Linked DNA regions of Macaca mulatta. The protein of the gene in region 1 binds, or shares a complex with, the protein of each later gene. Links are inferred from orthologs where the notes say so. Each region holds a gene or a part of one and is shown in the gene's direction. Other genes may lie near its edges.

What was found.
Region 2: MYBL1 (region 1) and E2F4 share a complex: the UniProt entries of both Homo sapiens proteins name them as parts of the DREAM complex. The link is inferred for Macaca mulatta from reciprocal best matches to the Homo sapiens genes MYBL1 and E2F4.
Region 3: MYBL1 (region 1) and LIN52 share a complex: the UniProt entries of both Homo sapiens proteins name them as parts of the DREAM complex. The link is inferred for Macaca mulatta from reciprocal best matches to the Homo sapiens genes MYBL1 and LIN52.
Region 4: MYBL1 (region 1) and RBL2 share a complex: the UniProt entries of both Homo sapiens proteins name them as parts of the DREAM complex. The link is inferred for Macaca mulatta from reciprocal best matches to the Homo sapiens genes MYBL1 and RBL2.
Region 5: MYBL1 (region 1) and TFDP2 share a complex: the UniProt entries of both Homo sapiens proteins name them as parts of the DREAM complex. The link is inferred for Macaca mulatta from reciprocal best matches to the Homo sapiens genes MYBL1 and TFDP2.
Region 6: MYBL1 (region 1) and TFDP1 share a complex: the UniProt entries of both Homo sapiens proteins name them as parts of the DREAM complex. The link is inferred for Macaca mulatta from reciprocal best matches to the Homo sapiens genes MYBL1 and TFDP1.
Region 7: MYBL1 (region 1) and LIN9 share a complex: the UniProt entries of both Homo sapiens proteins name them as parts of the DREAM complex. The link is inferred for Macaca mulatta from reciprocal best matches to the Homo sapiens genes MYBL1 and LIN9.

The regions. Positions count from the first base shown.
Region 1 is NC_133413.1:77,305,320-77,309,471, reverse strand, and holds the start of MYBL1 (myb-related protein A), read left to right. Parts: upstream 1-1,428; 5' UTR 1,429-1,641; coding exon 1,642-1,661; intron 1,662-4,152. Other genes in the region: uncharacterized protein LOC144330579, read left to right, coding at 351-398, 814-1,428. UniProt on the Homo sapiens protein: Transcription factor that specifically recognizes the sequence 5'-YAAC[GT]G-3'.
Region 2 is NC_133425.1:62,734,175-62,738,151, forward strand, and holds the start of E2F4 (transcription factor E2F4), read left to right. Parts: upstream 1-1,177; 5' UTR 1,178-1,218; coding exon 1,219-1,353; intron 1,354-1,478; exon of another isoform or gene 1,479-1,532; coding exon of another isoform or gene 1,533-1,668; intron 1,669-1,752; coding exon 1,753-1,862; intron 1,863-2,000; coding exon 2,001-2,162; intron 2,163-2,470; coding exon 2,471-2,514; intron 2,515-3,412; coding exon 3,413-3,474; intron 3,475-3,695; coding exon 3,696-3,977. UniProt on the Homo sapiens protein: Transcription activator that binds DNA cooperatively with DP proteins through the E2 recognition site, 5'-TTTC[CG]CGC-3' found in the promoter region of a number of genes whose products are involved in cell cycle regulation or in DNA replication.
Region 3 is NC_133412.1:147,266,493-147,270,590, forward strand, and holds the start of LIN52 (protein lin-52 homolog), read left to right. Parts: upstream 1-1,298; 5' UTR 1,299-1,305; coding exon 1,306-1,336; intron 1,337-4,098. Other genes in the region: ALDH6A1 (methylmalonate-semialdehyde/malonate-semialdehyde dehydrogenase [acylating], mitochondrial), read right to left, coding at 685-738.
Region 4 is NC_133425.1:48,916,137-48,920,230, forward strand, and holds the start of RBL2 (retinoblastoma-like protein 2), read left to right. Parts: upstream 1-1,294; 5' UTR 1,295-1,401; coding exon 1,402-1,641; intron 1,642-1,932; exon of another isoform or gene 1,933-2,161; intron 2,162-2,274; exon of another isoform or gene 2,275-2,365; intron 2,366-2,475; exon of another isoform or gene 2,476-2,570; coding exon of another isoform or gene 2,571-2,588; intron 2,589-4,094. UniProt on the Homo sapiens protein: Key regulator of entry into cell division. Directly involved in heterochromatin formation by maintaining overall chromatin structure and, in particular, that of constitutive heterochromatin by stabilizing histone methylation.
Region 5 is NC_133407.1:44,932,519-44,935,228, reverse strand, and holds part of TFDP2 (transcription factor Dp-2), read left to right. Parts: intron 1-1,963; coding exon 1,964-2,069; intron 2,070-2,285; coding exon 2,286-2,469; 3' UTR 2,470-2,710. UniProt on the Homo sapiens protein: Can stimulate E2F-dependent transcription.
Region 6 is NC_133422.1:107,853,264-107,856,763, forward strand, and holds part of TFDP1 (transcription factor Dp-1), read left to right. Parts: coding exon 1-30; intron 31-1,433; coding exon 1,434-1,599; intron 1,600-2,067; coding exon 2,068-2,211; intron 2,212-2,694; coding exon 2,695-2,763; intron 2,764-3,500. UniProt on the Homo sapiens protein: Can stimulate E2F-dependent transcription.
Region 7 is NC_133406.1:84,065,587-84,069,780, reverse strand, and holds the start of LIN9 (protein lin-9 homolog), read left to right. Parts: upstream 1-1,394; 5' UTR 1,395-1,430; coding exon 1,431-1,911; intron 1,912-4,194. UniProt on the Homo sapiens protein: Acts as a tumor suppressor. Inhibits DNA synthesis. Its ability to inhibit oncogenic transformation is mediated through its association with RB1. Plays a role in the expression of genes required for the G1/S transition.

The DNA.
Region 1 (4,152 bases):
TTTGACAGTAGTGCATGCAAGCTTCTCTTAATTCAGCTCCGCTTAATTCACTCCGCACCTGCATCTGATTTGCAAAAGATGAAGTGTAAAATTTCAAAATAGCAAGTGTTTGTTACAGTGTTAACATGCGGCTCAGTGCTCTATGCAGTAGACCATGCTGCCTTGCAAATTTTCCTTAGCCAAGTCTAATTGTCACTGTAGCAAATCTACTTTAATGCTACTTGAAATGAACAGTTCGTAGTTATTAGACTGGAACCTCAAGTAGCTGCAACCGCTAGAAACTCCTCCGGTGGTTCCCCCCTCCCCGGTCTCTCCAGAGGAAAGAAGGTCGTCTTCTACACTTAACTACCATGCTTATTCATCTGGACGAAACGCTCAGTCCACTGTCGTCTTCACGGGTTATTCTCCAGTCCGGGCTTCTCCGCCGCGCACGTTATTTCCCGTAGAGCGGACACAAAATTAAGCACCTTGAGGACCAGCGGTAGACACGGATTATCTCCCGTTCCAAGCACGTCTCCCGCTAGGAACTTTTTTCACTTGTCACGCTTCAGCTGCTTTTTGAGGAAAACAGGTGATATTTGGTTTCCTGCCAGTCTCCGTCACTCTCGTGGCTATGATGTCTGGGTAAAAATAGCTCACATTTTTGCTTAAAAAATAACGGCAGCGCAAATTTATGGTTAGGTTTGTCTCAAGTCTGAAAATCGCGCCTCCTAACTAGTGAGACGGAAGACACCTAAGGAGCGAGGAGCTGTGGCCGAGGCGAGGCTGCGGAGACGTTCCCACACTGGGCCGCGGGACCACCCACCTCGCTAGAAACTCAGTCCTCTCACCCTAAGAAGTTTGGGGCAGCTGGATGACTCCACCGCCCGCTTCCGGACCCGCTCCAGCGCCGCTTCCGGACCCGCTCCTCGGCTAGCGCAGGAACTTGCTCTCCCAGCAGGCCCCGCGCGGTGCGCCTCTCGGCGCGTTCCGGGTCCTGTGACAGCTCGGCCCGCATGCCCCACCCGCGGCCCCACCCGCTGCCCCACCCCCTGGCTCCGGGCTCGTTCCCCGACTCCCGCGAGTTCCAGTCCCAGCTTCCAGCTCCCCAGCCCCGCCCTCAGCCGCGCGCGCTCTCCCCGCCCCGCCCCCGCTGCTCCGCGTGCGGTCCCCACAGCCAATGGGGTTCAGGGCCGCGTGCGCAGATTCAAACGGCGGCTCTTGAGGGAGGCTGGGCGCGAGATTCGGCGGTGCGGACAAAACCCTGCAGGAGACTGCGAGCCCTGCAGAACTGCTAGCTGCGGGGAGAGGGGAGGGTCGGCGCCTGTGGCGGAGCCGGTCTGGGACCGGGGCGGGGAGGCTGACAAGCGGCGGGAGAAGCCGGCGGAGGGCGGGATCGCGCCTCCTGACATGTTGGGGGCATCCCTGGCAGGGCCGGGCCGGGGCTAAGAGCGGCACTGCGGGCCGGGGTCGGGGGCGGGTCGCGGTCCGCCCCCGCTGTCCCTCCGTCCTACCCTGTCGAGGACGTGCGTTCCGCACTCGGCAGTCTCCAGAGGGAGCGAGGGAAGCTGCTGGAGAATCAGGGAGAAGGAGCATTCGCCGGAGGCTGGAGGAGGCTGACCCGCGTCCCCGCCCAGCCCGCTCCTATGCGGTACTTGAAGGATGGCGAAGAGGTCGCGCAGGTGGGTGGCACCCCTTTCGCTCAGGCCTGTCGGCGCCGTCTCGACTTAGATTCTCTTTCCTATCCCACTGCCCCCTCCCGCCATAAGGCCCTCCCCGGCGAGGGCAGAGGTTTTTATTCCCGCGTGCCCGCGGCCGCTTGGCCTCGATGGCCGGAGCGCAGCCGCGACGTGTGGAGAGTTGGGGACCAGGGTGTTTGAGGCGCGGGACGTACGAGATGCCCAGGTTTCTCCGTGGCTCTCCTCACAGTGCGTGTCCAGGCTCCTGACCTCACGCTGCCACTTCTTCGGGGCAGGTTTCTTGCCAGGTAAGTCGAGCGCTTTTAGGGAGTTCGCTACGCAGAGAAAACTGGCTGTGTCCTGCCAGGAGGACTTGAAAATGGTGTTCGGGCGACTCTTTTCTGAATGACAGTACAGTCAAAATAGGAACTCCGCGGTGAACCTGGGCAGCCACCCCTCTGCCAACCTAGCTATCTTGAAACGTTGTGGAAAATCCTCTGGGGAATAGCTGAGCGAACCTTTTCGATGTTTTCTGTAATTTCCATACCCATATTCTCAGCTTTATGTATATATGTATATTTTAATATCCTCTATTGGGACCATGTCACATAGTAACAACTAGTAGTAACAGCTAGTAGCTTGATCTTAAAATAAAACAATGTGTTTGATTCACTTAATATTTTGAGTGTCTGTGTTTGACTCTGACCGTACCTAAGTGTTGCACAGAGGTAAAGCACTTTTTTCCACCTTTGCCTGGAAATGTGCTAGGATGAATTTATGTGTCTACTTTTTGTTTACATGCCATTACAGCAGCTACTCATAAATTATGTGGAGTAATTGCTTAGATAACAAAAATATAGGGTGTCTTCTGATTTTCAGCATTATCAGATAAACCTGAAAAGATGTTTGGCAGAATTTCCAAATTTTTTTTTATCTAGATCCACAGCCCCAAAATCTTAACTAGAGATGTGTTTCCTAAGTTGAAATTTAGTAATGGGGGTCATTCACTGCAGAGTTCTGCTAAAAATTGGCAGTAACTATACATAATTGTTTTTTGCTTTGTCTGTTAAATATCTGCTGTGTGCAGGATGCTTCTGCAGAAATCCTTAAGTCCCGGTAAACTTACTAGTTTTGTACTAAGTTATAGGACAAACCCTTGAGATGATATAAATGTATACACAGACCCCTCTAAAACTGTTTTCAACCTTTGCACTATTGACATCTTGGGCCAGATAATTCTTGTAATGGGGAGATGTTTAGCAGCATCCCTGGCTTCTACCCAGTAGAGATAGGAACACTCCACTTCCCTCAGTCATGACAGTTAAAATGTCTCCAGACATTGCCAGATATATTTTGGGGGACAAAATCACTCAGGAAAGAACCACCCCTCTAGAACTTCAAGGACCCAATTAACATCAATCTTCAGAAAAGATAGATATTTAAACCTCTTGTAATTATGATTGCTGAAGTACTGGTTTAGGCTTTTTGAATTTTTAAATTTAAAAAAATGTAAAAATAAGATGACAATTGAATATGTTAACTCAATAACAAGTTTATTAATGTGTGATATCTACTTATCAGTATTGCTGTTAATCTTATTTGAAACAGTTTCTTGGCTAATTCTGTCATCAGCATTTAGTTAAATTAAAATTATGACTAGACATGAATGTTTAAATGTCAGAACCTTCCCCTCCCCAAAGGGTTTTCTGTCAATTTCATATGTATGAAGTGTATGTTTCATAATAATAGACAAAGGAGAAATAACTTAATGTTAGTTTGCCTATGTAAGTTGTTTTATTGAGAATACTGTGAGCTTGAAATCTAAATATTGTACTTTTGACATTTATCCCTTGCCAGTTGTGTAAGTTAATTTAAACATGATAGAGTGATTTAAAGAGTCAAATCTTGAGTAATTAAATGTGGTGGGGTGAAGCTACACTGTCCCTGGGAGTATACAGATAGAGGATGTGGGAGAAATTATCATCTCTGAATGATGTATCTCTTAAGTCTTCATACTTGAATGTGTTTCATACTCTAAATTACATTTCTTGCATACGTAAATATGATTTACATATCTTAGACGATAGTAGATGCTCTGCTTTTGTGCTTCAACCAAAAACAAAAGAAGATAGCATGTGAATTGTTTTGAAGCAAAAATAATGTAGTCATTGGGAAAAATCTCTCTTGCCTTTTAGCTAAGTATCTTAATATATTTGAACTCAATTTATAGCTGAAAGGGAAAAGAAATAAAAGTTACTTCAGGTTGTAATTTGAGATCTCCAGTATACAACCATTTAAGCGGTCAAGTGAAAACTATACTTTGCTATATAAAAGTTTTGCCTAAGAGCATAGGCATAAATCCTGTAATATACGTTTCCTATGTGATCTGAAAAAAAAAAAGAAAAAAGAAAACCTAAAAGTAGAAAACTAAGTGTTACCTCAAGTGTGAAACAACTGCAGGACGTTAGCTGTTTTGACCTTTAAGATAGCTGTA
Region 2 (3,977 bases), on another chromosome or scaffold:
CATCTGCCCGATTCTGCTTGTCTTACTCCCTTAAAGGTGTGGATCCTGACCAGGTGTGATGGCTCACGCTGTCATCCCAGCATTGGGATGAGGTCTGAGGATCGCTTGAGCCTATGAGTTCGAGACTAGCCTGGACAATATAGTGAGACTCTCATCTCTACAAAAACTAAAAATAAATGAGCCAGGCATGGTGTGTGCATGCCTGTGGTCCCAGCTACTTGGGAGGCTGAGGTGGGAGAATCGCTTGGGCCCAGGAAGCTGAGATGGCATTGATCTTGCCACTGCACTCCAGCCTGGGCAACAGAGTGAGATCCTGTCTCAAAAAAAAAAAAAAAAAAAAGAAGTGTGGATCCCCAACAAACTTGCTGCAAAACCCTGTCTCGAGTCCCATTTCCCATAGAACCTGACCTAAAAGAAACAATAATAAATAGTAACAATGTTACAAGTAACAAAATGACCCTAGCAAACTTTCCTACATGCCAGAAATGACTCTGAGTGCTTTACTGATATATACACATAGGTAAATACGTTTGCATTGGCTGAAGTGTATATAACCCCATAGTCTCTGAGCACTGTAGCGGGAGGACAAGATGAGCGAAAGATGAGGCTAGGACCATGGATGGAGAGAGGTGGACAAGGTAGATATAGTTAGTGCTTGCTGTTTGGCAGGAAGTGAGGGACAGGAATAGATGGGGTGACCCCAAGACAGTAGGGGAACCTTTAGGAACATTTTTGATGTGGCAGTAAAATGAGTTTGAAATATAAAAGAATAAATAAAGAGAAAAAAATTTAAAAGGAACTGATTTGAGGGAACAGATTGGATTAGTCAGGTAGTGTGGTCTTGTCTCCCGAGATGGGGACTGGGCAGAGTTAGTGATGTTGGGGCAGATTGGCAAGGAAAGTTCCGATGGCATCCCTTTCTCTACTGCCAGGGCTGCCCACTGACGCCCTCCTCATTCCTCCCTAACTTCATCCCAACTCCCGGTCTACCCAGGTAGTTTTCGTCTTATTCGGCGGCTGGACATTTGCTAATGGTCCCTGAAGTTTTGCGGTTGCACCCACAGACAGCAATAGCGCCGCGTTCCCTGGAAGACGCACGGGGCGGAAGCGGAAGCAGCAACGCTGGCTCCGGCTGCCGGACGGCCAGGAACGGAAGCGGAAGTGGCGGCGGCGCCGGCCTGGCCTGGCCTGGCTGAGGGGAGGCGGCGGGCGGACGCGATGGCGGAGGCCGGGCCGCAGGCGCCGCCGCCCCCGGGCACTCCAAGCCGGCACGAAAAGAGCCTGGGACTACTCACCACCAAGTTCGTGTCTCTTCTGCAGGAGGCCAAGGACGGCGTGCTTGACCTCAAGCTGGTGCGGCCCGGGCTAAGGGGCGACAAGGGAGGATGGTGGACCAGGCCTGGGCCGGTAGCGGGAACCCCGGGGGCGGCCCAGCTGGGTCCTCCGAGAGCCGGCCGCCATCGTGTGCTTTCTCACAGGAGAGAAGCCGGGGAATGTTTCATTCATTCGGCCGAGGCCATTGAGCTACAGCTATGGGCCAGGCTCGGGGCTCCAGGTGTTCGTCCTCGTGGCCCTTCCTGGCTGGCGAGGAGAAGAGCTGCCTATGGGACAGAGCTGCGGGCCTGAGCTGCAGTAGCGCCTGGCAGGCACTACAGGGTTGGAATCCAGGTTACTCCCTTCCCAGACCACGTCTCAGGGTGGCTGGGGGTACACCCGAGAGTGGGGCTGAGCATTCTCCACTCTGTCTGCCAGGCAGCTGACACCCTAGCTGTACGCCAGAAGCGGCGGATTTACGACATTACCAATGTTTTGGAAGGTATCGGGCTGATCGAGAAAAAGTCCAAGAACAGCATCCAGTGGAAGTGAGTGGGGATAGTGGGAGGGTAGTAGAGTCTCCCACCCAGAAGTGTCGGGGGTGGGGTGGAGGGTGCCAAAGAAGGCAGGGGCCGTGGGACCCAGAGTTCTCAGCAGTCCCTCTCAGCCCCACTCCCTGGGCTCAGGGGTGTGGGGCCTGGCTGCAATACCCGGGAGATTGCCGACAAGCTGATTGAGCTCAAGGCAGAGATCGAGGAGCTGCAGCAGCGGGAGCAAGAACTAGACCAGCACAAGGTGTGGGTGCAGCAGAGCATCCGGAACGTCACAGAGGACGTGCAGAACAGCTGATATCCTCCTGGCGTTCCCTCCTGGGGGGAGTGGGCAAGGGGCCCTCTGGTTCAACTTGCCCTGGGCAAGCTCCCTGTTCCTCTTGGGAGCTTGTCCTGTGGCCCCTGGCCATGGCCCAGCCTCAGGCTCCCTCCTCAGAGCCTCTCCCCTTCCAGTCTTAGCCTGTGATCCCTCCCCCAGTGGACCTGAGTCCCCAGAACTTTCTCTGAGGGGCCTCTGTGTCAGACCTTGGCTAAAGAATTGGGTCTTTTTTGTAGTCTGCCATCTGTCACCATAGGGCATCGGCCATTCTCCTTAACCCTCACACTTTGGCCTACGTCACTCATGAGGACATCTGCAGATGCTTTGCTGGTGAGCAGAGCCTGGGTAGGGGTGAGGGGGTGGGCTGGGCTCAACCAAATCCCTGAGCACTGGGTTCAGTGTCTCAGGAGAGTTCCGTCTCTTAAGAGGGTTTCTGGGGCCTGCTCAGAGAGGAACCAGGCAGGGTAAGTCTTCTGTCTGAGTGTCACTGGGACCCTGTGGAGGTCAGCTATACCAAGAGGGTACAGGAATTCTGGAGTGGGTTCCTGGGTCTGTTCCCAACTGTACTGTTTCCTGGATTTGGCTTCTTGAGTATGATAGAGGTACAAGGGGGAGAAAGGGAGAGAGGATATGTGTGTATTTGCTTGTGTGCAGGCTCTTACATGCAGGGCATGGGGGTGCCCACCTCCAACTTGTTAGTTTAATTGCATTGTGAATGCAGGATATGTTCCTTTTTTTTCTTTCCTTTTTTTTTTTTTTTAAAAAGAGACAGGGTCTTGCTATGTTGCCAGGCTGGTCTTGAACTCCTGAGCTCAAGCTGTCTTCCCCGCTCAACCCCCTAAAGTGCTGGGATTATAAGTGTGAGCCACTGTGCCCCGCTGATGTGTTTCTTCTCCATCATGTATCCTCCTGACTGGTCATGGGAAAGGGATGTTGGCCTTGGCTAGAATACCTTCACCTAGGGAACAGCCATCGGTGGAAGAGTGAGGTGCCTGTGGCCAGTGATATTTGACTCCACATACTTGAACCCAGATTTCCTGGTTACTGACTCTGGGCTCTCAGGAAGAGAAGAGCTTTAGCTCTGCCCAGCCACTATGGGGAATGGGTGAGGTCCACTGTCTAGTCCCTCAGAGACCATGATCTCCTGCCTTGCTCCAAAAGACAGGCACCTCTGTTCCCAGCTCAGATTGAGCCCATGGGCTCTGACCCATTCTCCATGTCATTCTAGGAGATACCCTCTTGGCCATCCGGGCCCCATCAGGCACCAGCCTGGAGGTGCCCATCCCAGAGGTGGGTGCTTAGCCCAGGCAGGCGGGGTCAGCTGAGGGCGGGTGCTGGCTGTGGAGACTGATAAGTCCCGGGTGGGGCAGGTAGGGGAGGCCTGGAGTTTGGGGTTATCTAGGAGGATGGGCATCCTGGGTGGGAGAGGACACTGGTCCTGACAGAGTCGGGCAGGAGCCAAGCCTGCTTCCAATTCTACCCATCTCCCATCCCTTACCACCCATCTCTAGGGTCTCAATGGGCAGAAGAAGTACCAGATTCACCTGAAGAGTGTGAGTGGTCCCATTGAGGTTCTGCTGGTGAACAAGGAGGCATGGAGCTCACCCCCTGTGGCTGTGCCTGTGCCACCACCTGAAGATCTGCTCCAGAACCCACCTGCTGTTTCCACGCCTCCACCTCTGCCGAAGCCTGCCCTAGCCCAGTCCCAATCCCAGGAAGCCTCACGTCCAAATAGTCCTCAGCTCACTCCCACTCCTGTCCCCGGCAGCGCAGAAGTCCAGGGAATGGCTGGC
Region 3 (4,098 bases), on another chromosome or scaffold:
CCTATCTATGTAAACTGTTTAACTTGGCTGAGAGAAAGTTTCACTGAAAGTTTTGGCAAGAAAGGGGACAGCCAGTCTATGGAAAATACAAAGAGCCACACTTAGGGAAAATAATTCGGTAAATGGCTGCCTTTGGTGAAAATCTAGAGTCCACTTCTAGAAGAAAATTCAAAGTTCATACACTGACCCTCGCCCCTCACGTTCCCCCTCCCTCTTACCTCGGATCACCACGGACAGTGAAGTAGGGTGGGGGAAGGGAGCAATGGCAACGTGGACGCTCAAGGCAGGGGACAGAATAACCAAAAAGAGTAGTTTCTGGGGGATAGAGAGAACGCTGGTGCAGAGGTGAAAGGGAAAGACGGTGGGCGGATGGAGAGATGAGGGCAAGAGACTGACAGCAGGGAGCGGGCAGAGCTGGAGAAGGAGAGTGGGCGAGAGCCAGAAAAGAGGAGGCTTAGGAGTAAAAGGGTAGAGGGCCAAGGGTAACAGCCCAGGGTTGGATCCGGGACGAGGGAGGGTATGAAGTGAGGGCTGGGCATGGGACAGGGCCCACAGGTTAGGTAGGAGGTCCGGCCAAAAAGGGGTTGGGCCAAGAAGGTGGTCCCAGCCCGAGGACGGCTCAGGGAGCGGACGGAAAGGATCCAATTCCTAGCTTCATGGTGCCTTGGCGCCACCCTCACTCGCCTGCAGGATCCTGGCTCGCACTGCCGCCGCCGCCGCCGCCACTACCGCCGCCATGGCTCTCGGCCGCCCTAGCTCCGCAACCCGCTCCTCTACAGCTCAGACGCACTACAGCTGCCAGGCCTAGCCCTCCATCCTGCCGGGCTTCCTCATTGGTGGGGAGGACTATTTTCTTCAGCCAATCACTCGTCCTAACACCTGATTCCTCCTCTCACACCCCAGTCCTGGGGATAAGTGATTGGTCAGGAGCGAAAATGCTCGCACCCTCTCCTACCTCAGCCAATGCCGTTGGCGGAGGTAGAGAAGACGCCCCCGACTTGGACACTCCATACTGAGCACACGGAGGAGACGCCCCCTAACCTGGAACTCCGATTGGCCAAGGACGCAACCGAGGCCCCACCCCTTCACTGAGCAAAGTAAATAAGACCCTCCAAGAATTTTGCTGTCGCTCCACCTCAACAACTGCATAAGGGGCGTGGCTATGATGAGGGGAGGGGCTGGGCGAAGATTGCCCTATGAGGCGAGGGAATGAGACGTGGCTGCGAGTTGGGGATAGGGTTTCTCTTTGGGGGCGTGGCTTATGGATCCTCGTTTTCCCGCCGACGGTTGGCCACGTCACGTGACATGGGTTGGAAGATGGCGTCTCCCACAGACGGTAAGAGCCGGCTTAGGGATGTTTGCCTGCAGCCTCCTTCTTTGCTGTATGGGGAACATCCACTCTGTCTCTGCCCCTCGAACATACATTTCTTTCTTGGGCTCTTCTCCTTTCCCTTTTGTTTTTTTTCTTGCGATCCATCGCCGTCTTCAGCTCACCGGTTCTTCGCAGCAGCTTCAGAGGTGCCCAGTTTCCCTGCTCTGTACCAGGCGTGTGGAGGAGGGCACTAGGGAGGGACTCATTCTGGGTAAAAGGACAGGGGTCGCCCTGGCCCTTCCTTATCTCTATTTGGGCGAGGCTGAGGGTAGAGGAGGAGATGTTACTGGAGGACGTGCCTTACTGTAGTTTTCTCCTTGGGGTATCCCATTGAAAGGATCAGTTCTCTTCTGATTGAGCGCACAGATGGAACGATTCTCAAACCCTCGCAGGGGCTGCTGGCTGACCCCATCTCGATAGTGAACCGCAAGAGAAACATGATCTCTCTCCTGTCTCCTCAGTTTGGGACCATTGCCGTGGCAGCAAGAGAAGCGGGGGACGTTCTCGGCCCCTCGCCGAGAGAGTCGCGAGGAGAATGAGTATTGAGCTTTTAAGTGTTGTCTTGCACAGGTCGCAACCGCTCTTTCATCTGCTTTACGTGTTGTTTCTTAAGGCTGAGTGAATGAACGATTTCTGTTTATATGTTGTGTAAAATGCAAGTCATCTCAAGTAACAAGTTGTTTTGGTATACTCCCATGCTTTTGCTTTTGGTTCTGCTTTAGAGAGGGTCTTGCAGTCATTTTTAAACTCATTTTTAGTTCTACCATCCGCATCCCAACTATATATCGATTTTATTGATATATAGGTTTCCCTCCCTTAGACAAACAGATTTTGTATTTGGAAGGAATCTTGGAAGTTCATTGCAGGAATGAAGAAATTGAAGCCAAGGTGAGCTGTATTGAGTACCTACTACATGAAAGGCATAATGCTAGGTGCTTTGGGAGACCAAAAGATGACTCAAACATACACACTTTTTTTTTTTTTTTTTCCAGTTTCAGTTCTCTTTTTAGATGTCACCTCCCAAAGAGTCTTTCTTAGAACACAGTATCTGGAGTTGCCCTTCCCCACCATTATTCATTGCCTCAGTATCTTCCTTGTCAGCATAGTTACTATGTTAACTTTGCCCCTTGTACGCTAGATTATAAATTACAAGTTTGTCTTGTTCATAGCTGGATTCCAGGTTTAGCACAGTGCCTGACGAACAGTAGGTCTTTAATTAACATGTATTGAAAGATTGATTAGATATGTGCAGAAATAATATATTACTTGATCTTAAGTTTTACGTTTAACCGAGTCTTAAATTTTGTGAGCACAGGTACATACTGTGTTAGAAATTATGGCCGGGCGTGGTGGTTCACACTTCTAATCCCAGCACTTTGGGAGGCTGAGGCAGGCAGATTGCCTGAGCTCAGGAGTTGAAGACGAGCCTAGACAACATGGTGAAACCCCATCTCTACAAAAAAATACAAAAATTATCTGGGTGTGGTGCCGTGCACCTGTAGTCCCAGCTACTTGGGGGGCTAAGGCAAGAGAATCACTTGAGCCTGGGGGTGGAGGCTGCAGTGAACCATGTTCATGTCACTGCACTCCAGTCTGGGTGACAAAGCGAGACCCCGTCTCAAAAAAAAAAGAAGGAAAAACAAGAAATTTGGATGTTTGGAGTCAAAAGAGATTCTCCTTCCTGGGTGCTCTCTTGCAAAAATGTCCTTCTCTCGCCAGAAAGAAAGGCATTTAAAAAGGGAATAGGGAGTTATTGTTAATGGGTACCAAATTTCAGTTTGGGAAGGTGAAAGTGTTCTGGAAATGAATGTGATGATTGCACAATTAATGTACTTAATACCACTGAACTCTATACTTAAAAGTTATTAAAATGGTAAAATTTATGTATATTTCACCACAATTTTTTTAAAAAGCCAAGTGATAGAAATAGAGGTAATTGTTATTAAATTTTTTAGTTTATTTTAAAATTGTTTTTACAAATTTTGGGGATTTTAGAGATGTGTTCCTTGAGTTTGGTTTTTTTTTTTCCTTGTCTTCTCTCAATTTAGTTTCCTTTCTTTGGCCAGGAAGAGTATTAAAAATGTTAAATTTTTTTCCTTTGGTCTTCTAGCCATCCCTATGGTCACTTTATTTGCACTCTTGATTTTTAAAAGTCTTCATTCTCATCTCTTACAAAGTTTTACTCCTCTCCACCTAATGTTTTCTTTTAATCTGAAAAAATCAAGTCAAGCACTTTGAACTTAAATTCAACGTCTCAGTAAGTATCTCATTCCAAAATATTCCATGGCCTAGCTCTCTCACTTCTATTTTTAGTGTTCCACCTGTCACTGTCTTTAAAATTTAATTCAGATAACATTGACTTGAAAATGTTTGTCATTTACTCTTTTGTCTTTTTCGTGATAAATTTGCTGGAGCTTCTTTGAAAAGGAGAAAACTGAAATTCAAATACAGCCATCTAATTACTTAATTTATGAGAGTAAGACTCACAGCAGAGTCTGAGTTCTATCCCAGACTGTGGGATAAGGTCACCCATGTAGGTTATTAGATTGTACCCCCAATAATTTTTTTTAAAATTTTCTTTTAGAGACAGGGTCTCTCTCACTCTATTGCCCATGCTGAAATGCAGTGGTATGATTATAGCTCACTGCACCCTCAAAGGCTCAAGCTATCCTCCCGTCTCAACCTCCCAAGTAGCTGGTACTATAGGCTCACACCACCATGCCCAG
Region 4 (4,094 bases), on another chromosome or scaffold:
AAAATGAATTGGTCGGGCATGGTGGCTCAAGCCTGTAATCCCAGCACTCTGGGAGGCCGAGGCGGGCGGATCACTTGAGGTCAGGAGTTCGAGACCAGCCTGGTCAACATAGTGAAACCCTGCCTCTACTGAAAATATAAAAATTAGCCGGGCGCGGTAGCACGCACCTGTAATCCCAGATATTCAGGAGGCTGAGGCAGAAGAATCGCTTGAACCCGGGAGGCGGAGGTTGCCGTGAGCCAAGATCGTGCCACTGCACTCCAGCCTGGGCGACAGAGCCAGACTCTGTCTCAAATTAAAAAAAAAAAAAAAAAAAAAAAAAAAAAAAAAAGGACTGTCTGCCCTTCAGAGTCAGCTACCAGAAAATTCGGAGACTGGGGTTTTTAAAGAATGACTTGGCGGGTAGGGGGCCAGGGAGTGGCGAATGCTAATTTGTCAGGTGGGAGGTGAAATCTTAGGGGGTTGAAGTGGGCTCTTGCTGTCTTCTGTTTCTGAGTGGGACTGTAGAACTGGTTGAGCCAGATTATGGTCTGAGTGGCGCCAGCTCATGCATCGGAATGCGGGGTCTGAAAAGTATCTCCAGCACCAATCTTAGGTTTTACAATAGTGATGTTATCCCTGAGAACAACTGGGGAGGTTAGGAATCTTGTAGCCTCTGGCTGCAAGACTCCTAAATCATAATTTCTAATCTTGTGGCTAATTTGTTAGTTCTACAAAGGCAGACTGATCCTCAGGCAAGAAGGGGGTTTGTTTTGGGAAAGCGCTGTAAAAATCTTTGCTTCAAAGTGAAACTACAAATTAAATTCCTCCTGTAGTTAGTTGGGTCTTCGCCTGGGAATGAACAAGTGCAGCTCGGAGGTGAGAAGCATGGAGTCATTTAGGTCAGATCCCTTTCCCAGTGGTAACTTTCTCACTGTTAGGATTTTTGCAAAGGCAGTTTCGTGAAGGTACACAGACAGGCCCTTGCTATTATCCTGGTTTTTTAGATAAGGATATCCAGGCGATGAGGAAGTTTTACTTCTGGGAACAGCCTGGATGCGAAACCTTCACACGTCAGTGTCTTTTGGACATTTTCTCGTCAGTACAACCCTGTTGAATGTTCTCACGATGGGGAGGTATGTGCTTAAAATGCGGGGAAGGTGCTTTTATTTCACCCCTGGTGAAACTAGGCGAGCTAATTTTTTTAAACATGATTTTTGGCCCCCTTGAACCGTCGGCCTGGACTACATTTCCCAGCAGGCCGTGCTCAAGACTACGGGTGCCTGCAGGAGGTCAGCGTCGTTGGCAGCGGCGCAGGCGCAGGCGCGGAGCGGGCGGCGGACGGGCGGGCGCTTCGCGGTTTGAATGGCTGCGGGCCCGGGCCCTCACCTCACCTGAGGTCCGGCTGCCCAGGGGTGCGCTATGCCGTCGGGAGGTGACCAGTCGCCGCCGCCCCCGCCTCCTCCTCCGGCGGCGGCAGCCTCGGATGAGGAGGAGGAGGACGACGGCGAGGCGGAGGACGCCGCGCCGCCTAACGAGTCGCCCACCCCTCAGATCCAGCAGCGGTTCGACGAGCTGTGCAGCCGCCTCAACATGGACGAGGCGGCGCGGGCCGAGGCCTGGGACAGCTACCGCAGCATGAGCGAGAGCTACACTCTGGAGGTGCGCTCGCGGGCGGAGGGGCGCTTCCGGCCTAGTCGGCGTGAACCGGTGCCTTCCGAGCCGCGTCGCGCGCCACGAGAGACCCTCGGGCGGGTTGCGGGATCCCAGCCGGGAGAGGCGTGGGGACCCCCTCTGCGCTATTCCGAGGCACTTAGCCGCTCCGAGGGCGAACCTGCTCTCGCCGCGCTTCCCCGCGGCTTCCGAATGGGGAACGCGTTTTGCCCTAAAGTAACATAGGGAAGCTGAGATCGCGCTGGGGTCCCGATGAGGAAGATGGGTGTGTGTGGCCCATCTGACCCCCCGCCCGCCTTGTTAGTAGAATGAACTAGTGTCGTTATCAAGACCGCACGGAGAAGGGGAGGGGACTTGCCCTTATTTGCACCGCGATTAACCGGGCTGTGGCACCTGGGTCTCCAGGCGTCTCCGTCTGTTCGCTTCCCCCTGTTAACCAAATTGCCTTTGCCCAGACGTTGCTGGCGTTAGAGTCAACGAGCTGATGCGTTTTGGTCTGTGTTTACGTCTGTGTAAACAAATTAAGACTCATTTTCCCCCAGGCCACATGAAATGAGCCCTCCGCCGACCCGTATATAGATACATGCTCCCATTTGTCACTAGGCTCAGGATTGTGGCTACCTCGAGGGCTTTTTGGTCACCCCGGGCATTGCACAGGACTCCTGTTGTCGGGATCCGGGCGTGTTAGGTCGCAGCCTTCGGACTGGGCTTGCGGATGAGAAAAATGGCCATTCTAGCCAGTGACTGTTAGTTCTGTAGGCACCTCCCTTTCATGGGCCAATGGGAAGTGACACGGAAGTACGGATTGTTTATCAGCTCTTCTACTGTGTGTGTGTGGCATTTAAACCTGAGGCCATTTAATTTCTCAAGTAGTTTTATAATTACTTTGGATAAAGAGGGGGGCAAATAGGCCCAGGATGCAAAGCCTAACCAAGGTATTATTTAAATATGATGTTTTTGGCTATGTGTACTGATGAGTGAGGTTATTTTAAATTTGTATTTGCATTAATAGAATTTTGATTCAATTACGATTTCCCTCTTTGAATTGTTATATCTGCAGAAGAAAGATAGTGTATGGTGGCTTTAGAACCCGACAGACCTGGGTGACTGAACAATTTACTTAACCGCTGGAAAGTTGAGTTTTGTGATCTCTAAACTGGAGATATGTGTGTTTACCTCACAGAGCTGTTCTGAAGATTAAATAAGGCAACAATGTAGTTTCTGGCACATAAAGCACCCATATGGACGGTGCTTTCAAGTTTCCTAAGCTCTTTGTATATTTACATGATCTGGCTGAGTAAACTATGTTCCTGTCCGTCTCTCAGTGCCTTTCTGTAGTCTGGCAAAGAGAAGGACTGGTTGACTTTTTTTTTTTTTGCTTTTTTTTTTTCTTTGGTAAAGGGCCTTAAAGGCTTCTAAACAAGCTTTTATTTTACCCTCAGGATGATCCTGTAAATTAGATAGAACAAGCGTTATCACCATTTAGTTGAGGTATGTCAACTCATAGTGGTTAAGTTGTATGAAGTCCAGTGATACATGAGCAAATACCACGTAAGAGCTGGTTAGTAAATTATTTTTGAAAACACATGTTTGATTACTCAATTCTTTTGATTACTGAGACTTTAGTTTCAGCTTCTTAGCCCAGTTTATTCAGTAAATGATTTACTCAGTAAAATATTCATCAAATATTTCTTGAGCACCTGTTCTCAGTGCTACACACTGTTCTCAGTGCTGGATATAGAGCATCAAACAAAGCCTAAAAATACCTGCCTTTGTGGGGCTTATAGTGAGCTACGCTGTGAGATAATGTGGGATGTCATTCTCATGGGAGTGTAAGGGGAAATAAAGCTCTTATGATATTTAATACAGAATACTGGTTATGGAAATTTAATTTGATTCATTGTATTTTCTGTGCATTTTTAACCTATAACTCATTCTTACAGTCCTCAGCCAAAAAAATGCAGCCTCTGAGACTGTTTAGTAATTTTCCCACTGTGTTACAGCTACTGTATGGCAGAGCCAGAATTTGAAACCAGATCTATTTGACCCTATAAGATATGGCCACGAGATGTTAATTTTGAGGATAACTATTTTTTAGTATTATGGAATTTTTCAACAAATATTTTTTAGGACCAAAGATAAACTAGGCAGAGTCTACTCTTTGCATAAATTGTTTAAAAGAGCTTCCCGCTCCGTTTTATCATCTAAGCACGGTAAAATTCTCACAAGACTAATTCTTTTCTTCTTTTTAGGAAAGATGCAGTTGTAGACTTTCTTTTTTTGTTGTTGTTGTTTTCTCTCTGCCATCCAAGTAGTTGTGAATTTTCTAGAGCCAAAATAGAACATTATAGATTATCTTTTAAACCCTTTATTGAAGCACAGGATAATGCTATGACTGACTTAACTTTATACTTTCTAAGAGATCTTGATAGAGTAGAGAA
Region 5 (2,710 bases), on another chromosome or scaffold:
TATGCTCACAAACAAGTAAATAGTTGTGTTCTGACAGAAGGTTTCTATAGTTCTATATACTAATTAATATTCAGCACAGGATTCTGGCATTAATGTTATTTTCTTGTACAGACTTGTTGTTATTTAATGTATTTAAAGTCTGCTATTCTTCTTAGGCTTGAAGTCTTTTTTTTCCACAGCTGTCTCAAAGAAAAAGGTTCATAAGACGGTTTTAAAATTAGCATAGTCATTTAGTTTACTTTTTTCCTATATGGGAATGGCCTCTTGTTTGGATACCAGAGTTTCCAATCTAAATCATATAGTTTCATTTTTTTGTACAGTAATTGCAAAAAGATTTTGACTAAATTAAATCATAGCTCATTTTGGCAGATTACATTTTCTGAGTATGTGTTTGGGCTTATATAATTTCTTTTTAGGAATTACTTTTAATGTATCTACCACTTATTTTGTAAAGTGGCAGCTGGCAAAACTATACTCATTCATTCAGTAACTTTTTTGGGTTTTTTTGTTTGTTTGTTTTTCTTTTGAGATAGAGTCTTGCTCTGTCACCCAGGCTAGAGTGCAGTGGCACGATCTAGGCTCACTGCAACCTCCACCTCCTGGGTTCAAGTGATTCTTCTGCCCCAGCCTCTCGTAGCTGGGATTACAGGCGTGTATCACCATGCCTGACTAATTTTTGTATTTTTAATAGAGATGGGGCTTTGCTATGTTTGCCAGGCTGGTCTTGAACTCCTGAGCTCAAGCAATCTGCCCACCTTGGCCTCCCAAAGTGCTGGGATTACAGGCATGAGCCACCGCGCCTGGCCACATTTAGATCTTACATGTTCCAGTTACTGCCTTCTTTGAGCTGACACTGTAGATGGGAAGATTAGAAGTATTAAACCAGTAAAATTACAATAAGAATTGATCAGTGTTGTCATAGGAGAAATGTGGTATATGTATAGAAAAGAAGATGGCAAGGAGATATAAAAAAAATTTTTTTTTTTTTTTTTTTGAGATGGAGTTTCACTCTGGTTGCCCAGGCTGGAGTGCAATGGTGCAATCTCAGCTCACTGCAACCTCCGCCTCCTGGGTTCAAGCGAATCTCCTGCCTCAGCCTCCCGAGTAGCTAGGATTACAGGCATGCGCCACAACGCCCAGCTCATTCTGTATTTTTAGTGGAGGTGGGTTCTCCGCGTTGGACAGGCTGGTCTTGAACTCCCAACCTCAGGTGATCCGCCCGCCTTGGCCTCCCAAAATGCTGGGATTACAGGCATGAGCCACTGTGCCCAGCCCAAAATATTTTCTGTATACTAAAACAGTAATGTCTGTCTCCACCTCATTAAAAACATGACTGCATGTGAGTTTTTAAAAATAAGAGCTAGTTTGAATTAGAAAGCAAAGGATACCAGGAAAAATCTTGTCAGGAAAAAGAATAGGTATTTGATGAGTAGCAGCATTGAGTTCACCAGCAGCAGGCACCTGAAAAGACACTGCGGCAGGGGTTTTGGCCAAAACAGATCTGTCTGCCCTCTATGTAGGGTGGCCTTCTTACCTCATGTATTTCTGATTTGATTTTCTCTTTTCCCACTTCTGGCTTTGGCTGTCAACACCACAGTCCAGGTCTTTTGTGGTGAGGGCAGCCCAGGCATTGAGGATGGTACACTGGGCTGCATCCCATGGGCTGTGCTCTGGAGGGCTTATCTAAGAAAAAGAGTAAGAAAGCGCCTGTGAGTGTTTTCATTTGAATACCTTCTCTCCATAAGCTGCCTTCCCGTATTTTTTTTTCCTGCTCTTGTGTTCTAGAGTTTCTTTTTCTTCCAAGAAGATGAAGAAACCTGGGTTCTTCTCACAGCAAGAGAATTGTCTCGCTGTCATGAAGAATAAGCTTAGTTCTTGCTCTTCTGTGCTTTCTTCAGACTGTAACAACAGCAGCCACAAAACTTGCAGGACCGACATTTTTTGTTCTCATTTTTTCCTTTAGATATCTCCACAGGACCTTCTTGGTTAAATCAGGGACTACTTCTGAACTCTACCCAATCAGTTTCAAATTTAGACCTGAACACTGGTGCCACCTTACCCCAGTCAAGGTACGTATTTTTTTCAGGGTTAGAAAGGCAAACCCCAGAGCCCTGACTGTCTGTGTAGGGGTGAGCCGGGGTCATGTTACTGCCAGCACAGGTCCTGCTGAGCAGGTTTGTGGCAGATCTCACCAATGGCACCTCCTTCCTATGTTTTTATTCCTATATTTTACAAAACTGTTTATACCACATTAATGAGCCTGTGTGTTTTTAATTGTTTGCTAGTGTAAACCAAGGGTTATGCTTGGATGCAGAAGTGGCCTTAGCAACTGGGCAGTTCCTGGCCCCAAACAGTCACCAGTCCAGCAGTGCAGCCTCTCACTGCTCCGAGTCCCGAGGCGAGACCCCCTGTTCGTTCAATGATGAAGATGAGGAAGATGATGAGGAGGATTCCTCCTCCCCAGAATAAAGACAAGAGAAAGCCTACGTTTCAATATGTGATGCTCATGTGTGTTTGTAGTGTGAGCTCTTGTTTTTGAAATGATTGCTTCAGTCTTTGCCTTTGTTTGCACTGTGTGTTCAGTGAAAACTAGAGAAACACAATAAGCAAATCACATGAAGGCTGAGATGATTGAGATGAAAGTTAACATAGTGTGAATGAAAGTCTGGCCAACAGAGCAGTAGATGATATAACAAACAAAGCATGCTTT
Region 6 (3,500 bases), on another chromosome or scaffold:
GCCTTCCGACTCCTCACCTTGGTCTGCCGGGTGAGCACTTCCCTCCGGACCCTTAGAGTTGTAGGATTGCTTGCGGTTCGCACCTCCACGTTCTCCTGGGCCACGTGCGTGACACAGTCGCACGGTGGGGCTCCCATGCGCATTGATGTCAGCCTCCGAATCACACTCACCCATCATCGTGCCCCGCACAGGTGTGCAGTCGAGGCGCACTGCCTCGGTCACGGAGAAGTCGGGCTGGGCACTGCCCACCCTGCTTTGTGTCTGGTGTAGTGGGTGCTCTTGGAAGGGCTGGCAGCTCTTGGCCAAGACGGGGAGAAGCTGGCCTTGTACTTGCCACAGGACCTTGGAGACTTTTCATCGTCTGTGCTGGGAGCACGCGGGATGGATTTCACCCACTGCCCCTGAATGCAGCCTCTACTGCCCCTGGGGTTACGGCCCCCGTGAGTGGTCCCACCAGAGTGGCTCCTTCCACTAAAGCAAGATCTGATGAGCTGTGTCTTTCCTTAAAAAAACACACATGCAAAGCTACAAAAACCTACCTGTGTCGGTGCCCAAAGCTTCACCAGCTGGGACCGCAGGTGACCTTTCCCGCCACGTGGGGACTGACCAGAGTGTAGAGTTGGGCTTTCCCTCTGTGTGAAGAACACTTAGTGGTTTGCACCTGTTGTCAAGCGGCTATCACAGCCCAAGCCGTATGAAATTATAGCCTGCTGAAATTTGTCCTAAAAATTCCCAAATGTACACTGAAATGTCCCATAGTTCCTGATTCTGGTTGCCCTCTTTAGAAAAGTGATGCCTGTGGCTCACACCTGTAATCCCAGCCCTGTGGGAGGCCGAGGCCGGCAGATCATGAGGTCAAGAGATTGAGACCATCCTGGCCAACATGCTGAAACCCTGTCTCTACTAAAAATACAAAAAAATTAGCCAGGTGTGGTGGCAGGCGGGCGCCTGTTGTAATCCCAGCTCTTGGGAGGCTGAGGCAGGAGAATTGCTTGAACCCAGGAGGCGGAGGTTGCAGTGAGCCAAGATCGTGCCACCGCACTCCAGCCCACTACAGAGCGAGACTCCATCTCAAAAAAGAAAAAAAAAAAAAGAAGTGCTTGGTGTACTGATAGGCCTCTCATATGCTGAGTACTGATAGGCCTTCCATATGCTGATTCGGGTCCTGGGGACGCCTCCCGTTTTCCCTGACACTTGGAAGGACAGAGGTGCAGCCTGCCAGGGAGACACTCGCTTTCTGACCTGCAGGAGCACTGGGCCTGGGGGCTGGGGCTAGGTGGTCCTGGCCTGCTCACGTGTTGGATCTGCTGCGCCCGTGGGATGTGGCCCCTTTTTGTGCAGCTCATTAGAGCTCTCAGGTAAAAGCATTCCTCGATTCAGACTGATGCTCAGGAGGGCTGACAGTCGCTTCTTTTTTCCTTTGTATTTTGAAGGAAGCGCAACAGGAAAGGAGAGAAGAATGGCAAGGGCCTGCGGCATTTCTCCATGAAGGTCTGCGAGAAGGTGCAGAGGAAAGGGACCACTTCCTACAACGAAGTGGCGGACGAGCTGGTCGCGGAGTTCAGTGCTGCCGACAACCACATCTTACCAAACGAGTCAGTAAGTGTGTGCTGGGGGCCGAGAGGCCAGGGTAGCGGAACCAAGTGGTGTGGCACGTTTTACTCTTTTAATATTGGGAACAGTTAAAACCATACAGAAAATTCCAAGTACAGCATGACAGAATTTTTCCCAGTCCATTTGCTGGCATGATGCTCTGTCAGCGTCAGTGAGCGAGCACGTGGGCTGGCTCTGCACATCCAGCGGCCCAGAAATGCAGACGTGCCCTCCTCGCCAGCTGGGCTCGACACCAGAGGGCCCCCAGCTCCCCTCCTGGAACACACCGGGATTCGCACAGCCCTGTCTTGCCCTGCATCATCTGTAGGGTGGGAGTGCTCCCTGAGGACGTGTTGGGGTGACAGCTCTGTGAGCGGGGTGCCCCTTCAAGCCGGTGCGCGTGGCCTACAGTTTAAGGTGGGATCCACAGGCTTTTTTGGATCATTTGGAAAATCCACTCCCTGTCATCCGCAGGCTTATGACCAGAAGAACATAAGACGGCGCGTCTACGATGCCTTAAACGTGCTGATGGCCATGAACATCATCTCCAAGGAGAAGAAGGAGATCAAGTGGATTGGTCTGCCCACCAACTCGGCTCAGGAATGTCAGAACTTAGAGGTGGCCCTTCAACCTTGATTTCCCTTCAAGTCTGTGTAGATGTGTTTGTTGTCCGTCACTCAGAAGGGTCTGGGCTCCATGCCCTTATGCTCTCTGTGTCCAGACGGCTGGCAGACGGTCATGCAGACGTCTCCCTGCGTTTCTCAGTCTCGGCTGTCAGGGGAGGGAGCATGGTTGGTCCAGACCCACTAGAGTGTGTTAAACTCTAGCATAGGTTAATTGTGAATCCTAGTTTGTGGGATTTTTGTTTTCTTTTTAGATACCATAGTTAAATCCAAGAAATGAGAGGAGAGGGGAAAAGGTATAGTTTAGAAATGGAAGAAAAACTCACCTGTATTTTGTGGCACCTGCTATGTCTAGATTTGTCCATATCCCTTCGATTACATTCAAGGTAAACATAGGTAACACTGAGGATGCGGGTTGTAAAATGCACTGTATGGAACAATCGTGATGATTCTCTACATGGGGGGTTTGTTTTTGAAGGTGGAAAGACAGAGGAGACTTGAAAGAATAAAACAGAAACAGTCTCAACTTCAAGAACTTATTCTACAGGTAAGAGAATACATATCTTTGGAGGCAGGGTAATTTTTATTTTACTAATTTAGTTTTATAACAGCAACATACTGCCTTGGGTTACGCTCCTGTGTGGCAAATTAAATGACTGCTTTAAGATTCTGAGTGTGAGTTCATCTCATAGGTGTTGAATGTGGGCCGTGTTCCCAGAGCGAGGTTGTGTATGTGTGTGCGTATGCATGCATGCGTGCGTGTGTGTGTGCATGTGTGTGTGCACCTGCGTCCATGTGCCTGTGTGTGTGCATGTGTGTGCATGCCTGCGTGTGTGCCTGCGTGTGTGTGCACGCATGTGTGTGCGTGCCTGCGTGTGTGTGCCTGCATCCATGTGCCTGTGTGTGTGCATGTGTATGTGTGTATCCCTCGTCACAGTGTCTAAACAGCCAAAAGACAGATGGAGGGATGACTTCATGCAAAAGCAGCATTTGAAAAATCCCCTCAGAGGTGCTTAACCCAAGGCCCAGGTGCCAGGCGAGGCATGTAAAACTGTGGTGGGCGCAATGCACCTGGGTCTTGACAGTGCTGATCAGGGCCCTGGAGCTGGCCTTTCCCACCTCCCATTGAGTGCTGAGGGTGGGCGGCACCCCTGGGGGCCCCGTGTCTGGTGTGGAGGGGGTCGTGTGCAAGGTGCTCAGTGCAGAGCTGACTGCTGCTCTGGCCGAGGTGTGCTCGAGCCCTCCCAGAGGGGATGGTGTGGCAGCCATGGTGATGGAGACTCG
Region 7 (4,194 bases), on another chromosome or scaffold:
AAGTGCAAGCTGCTGCAGCCCGCCCCCCAGGTGCTGACAACAAGGACCAGTGTTTTAATCTTCTTAGAGAGCAGATCAGAGTGTGTTTAGAAGGCAAAGGAGAGGTTAAGCTAGCTCTGAAGGATTACTTTGTAAAACTGAACTTTCACCCTCCCTGCTCTCCCTCCTACCTTAGCATAGCAGCACCCAGTTACCCAAGGCACAAAGCTGGCATCAGCAATGAAACTTCCTTCTCCTCACACCCAGTGACTCACTCAATCCTTTATTTTCCACGTCTTGAAAGGTGGAGTGCATGCTGCCACCTCTCTCTAATACTGCCTATGCTGTGGTGATGGTGGTGGTAGTGGCTAACTGATGGGTGTTAGCAGCTATTATAAGGTCCTTACATCTATCAAATCATTTAGCCCTCAAAACAACTCTGTTACTTGCATTTTACAGATAAGAAACTGAGGCACAGAGAATTCGGTTAGGAAACCAACGTGCCGGAGATTATACAACTAGCAGCCCATCTGGATTCTTCCCATCGAGGCCCTGGGGCTCCAGAGCCCACCCTCTGCACCTCTCTAGCTACCAGTGCAGTCATCTCTCTTCTGTCCTTTGTATGCCCCAAATAAGCTTCTTCCTGACTGGTTTCTAGGCTCTCATCTTGTCCCCCACCAATCCATTTCCCATATTTTTGTTCGAAAACACAAATAGAAACATACCCCATCTTTAGGTAAAACCCGACTTTTCCACTGCTCCAGTGCACTAAGCAAGTTCAACTCCTTAGCCTGGGCGGGCCTCTGTGTCATCTTAGTAAACCGCCTTTTAACTTTGTAGTTCCTGGGATTCACCCATGTTTGCTTAGCGGTCCCATTCCTCCAAACCCATAAATTCCTGGAGAAAAGGACTGGAGCTCAATGACATTTGTTAAATGAATTTTTGAAAAGCAACAGTGCTTTATTACTGGAAAGTGTTACAGATATTGTGAATTTTTTTCCTAGGGCTTCTTTCAATTTCGTTGAATTCTCGTCCAATATCATCGTAACATTTGATCAGGTAGTTTATCACCTTGTAGTGTCACTGTTCCTTTCTGTATCCTCTCGAAGCCTCCTGTTTTTCCTTTCCTAATTCTCTTCCAGCCCACTGCACGATCTAGTGTCGAATGGATGAAACAGCTGAGCAGAACAGTTCTTTAGCTGTCGGCCTAAATGACCAACTTCATGACCTCTCAAGGTCTCGCTCCCCCGCTGCACGCAGCTCAGCTTCCAACATTCGGGAAAGGCGTGCCCGGCCGGCGAGGGGCCGCTGGGGCCGAGTCCCGGACGTCGCCACGCGCAGTGGGCTGCTGCAGCCGGCGCTCTCGGGAAAAGTGAGGGGACGGAGGCGCCCGAGCAATATGGGTTTCGGGAACCGTGAATATTTCACTTTGCGTAGAGCCCCGTCGGACAATGCGTCCCAGAACAGAGGGCTTCTTTCCCCCTGCCAGGGCTTCCCTCCAGTTCTCCACTCGGAACAAACAGCCTGCAGTTCCCGCAGCTGCAGCGCGGGCCGCGGAACACGCGCCTGGAGCGGGGCCCGGGCGGGACTCCGGAGCTGGTGCTGCTCCCCCAGCGCTCCGGCGCCGGGCCTCGCCGCGCGGCCTCCTTTCTCCCTTCCTCCCGCCCTGCTCGGCCGGAGGCGGCGGCGGAGGGGCGAGGTGCGGCCCCCCTTCGGCGGCACCTCCTCCCCAGGCAGGCGCGGGCGGAGCCCGGCCCGCCTCAGCCAGCCGCGGCGGGAGCAGCGCGGCGCAGCGCCGCGGGCAGCGAGCTCCGCATTCGAACCTCCCTCGCAAAGACAGTCTCCGCCCCACAATGCACCGCGGCGGGCAGCCTTTGAAAAAGCGGCGCGGCTCGTTCAAGATGGCGGAGCTCGACCAGTTGCCTGACGAGAGTGAGTAGCACCTCAAAGCACCCCCGCCTTTTCCCGCCTGCTGCCTGCCCCACGGCTGCACCGGCCGGGACGGACGGCCGTGCCCTCCGCTGGGCAGGTGGGCTGACTGCCAGCCCCACTGTGGTCCCCTAGTCCTCCCACTCCGGTGTTGCCGCCGCGTCGCCGCCTTTGTTATGGTGTCTGTGTGTTGGTTTCTGGGGTTGTGTGAGCGCCAGGGCCGGAAACCGAGAGCCCGGGAGTCCAGCCTGTGCCAGGCGGAGGCGGTGGCTGCTCCCCTGGCCCGACTCCGGCCCCCAGCCGAGGTGGGGGGAAGAGCGGCCCCCGGGCGCGGGGGCTGTCCTCGCCGCCTGCACCACTCGCCCGGCGCCGAGAGACGCCCGCCGGGGTTATGTAACTCGCCTGTCCCGGGGCCGGGGGAGGGCTCGGGCTGGGCACGGTGTGGTCCACGGCCCCTTCTTCTTGCCCCAGCTTCTGATCTTGTCCTGTCACAGCTCCTGCCTCTACGGGCACTTGTGATCTTCACTGTCCTCCCCGCCCCCCCACCGGTGTGTCCACCCCTGGAAGTGTTTCCGTGTCAGAGGGTTGGCCCCTTCCCCTGGGACCACAGGTGGCTGTGGACCTTTCCTGAGATCATCCAGCCCGGATACTCAGTGTTCAGGTAGCCCCCGTCCCGCAGAGTTTATTCTATATGTGTCTTAAGAGCCATGAAGGTACCTTTATGTATGGATGTGACCAACACAGCGTACATGTGCAGTACCCTGCCTGACACCCACCCTAGGGCATTGCCTCACCTATCCGTGTTTACTCACCCTGACATCTAAGACGTGTATACTCACTTGTGTTGAGTAAGTAAAAGCACCAATTCCGTAGTTTAAGGGCAATGGAACTTTTGTAATTTACAGTATTGCATAAATTATATGAAAAGGCAAATATGTTAGTTAATTACAAAAAAGTCCTGAATCCACATTCACTATTCAGTTTATACATATTTGTGAAAGGCTCAATCACTATTGAATCTATCTATGCACAAGGTAAATGGACTTTGAAAAAGAGAACTCAACATACCGATTCCATTTTCTTTGTGAGGTCATGTATTCTTAATAAGTTATAAAGTTAAAATAAAAGTTCAAGTTGCCAAGCTGGTGAAAAGTCGTATTAAAAGTGTTGTGTTTTAAATTTGATAGAGAGCAGCACTAAGTACCAAAGGAACTTTGTCCGTGATGGAACTGTTCTCTTTTGTGATGGCCAATAGGGTAGCCAAGCTACTAGCCATACGGGACATTTCAAATGTGGCTAGAGTGATGGAGGAACTGAATTTTGAATTTTACTTATATAGTCACATGTAGCTAGTAGCCACTGTATTGGATAGGGAACAGCTATTGACCAGTCATGAGTTGTATTGTTTATTTGTAGAATACAATTGATTGTGATTTATTTTATTTATTTATTTATTTATTTATTTTGAGATGGAGTTTCACTCTTATTGCCCAGGCTGGGGTGCAATGGCGCTATCTCGGCTCACTGCAACCTCTACCTCCCGGGTTCAAGCGATTCTCCTACCTCAGCCTCCCGAGTAGCTGGGGTTACAGGCATGAGCCACCATGCCCGCCTGATTTTTTTGTATTTTTAGTAGAGACGGGGTTTCTACATGTTGGTCAGGCTGGTCTCGAACTCCTGACCTCAGGTGATCCGCCCGCCTCAGCCTCCTAAAGTGCTGGGGTTACAGGTATGAGCCACCGTGGCTGGCCTTGATTGTGACTTTGAATGCTCCCAAATGAGTGTGGACCTACTAAGCACAGTGTACTTGTCATCCGAAAATGTTTTTCGTCATCCTTGGTATCTTTATCATAAAGATGTCTTATCACCTCTTGGATGTCACAATCACTAGAGCTCCTATTTTGGTTACTGCAGTCATTCTGTTGTAATGAGAGGTGTTTTATGTGGCTTTCTTACAACTGCCGTTGGGAATATTTGCTTCATATCATCCAACATTTATTGAGAATTTACTGTGGTTCTTTGTAGGGACTTGGGATTTATATTAGGGTTCAAATTCCAGCTCCACTTTCAAATTAATATAACCTAATCATTTATATTACTTTGTGACATCTCTGGTACATTGATGTGTATTCGTGTGTATATCTTGTTTAACCAGACTTCAGCTTTGTTGAAACCAGGGATTTTCTTTCTTTGTTATACAGTGCCACAAATCAAGTATACATAAATACTTAATTTATATGGAATTAATGCAAAGTAACAGGTATTATTAATGAAACTGGAGGAGGG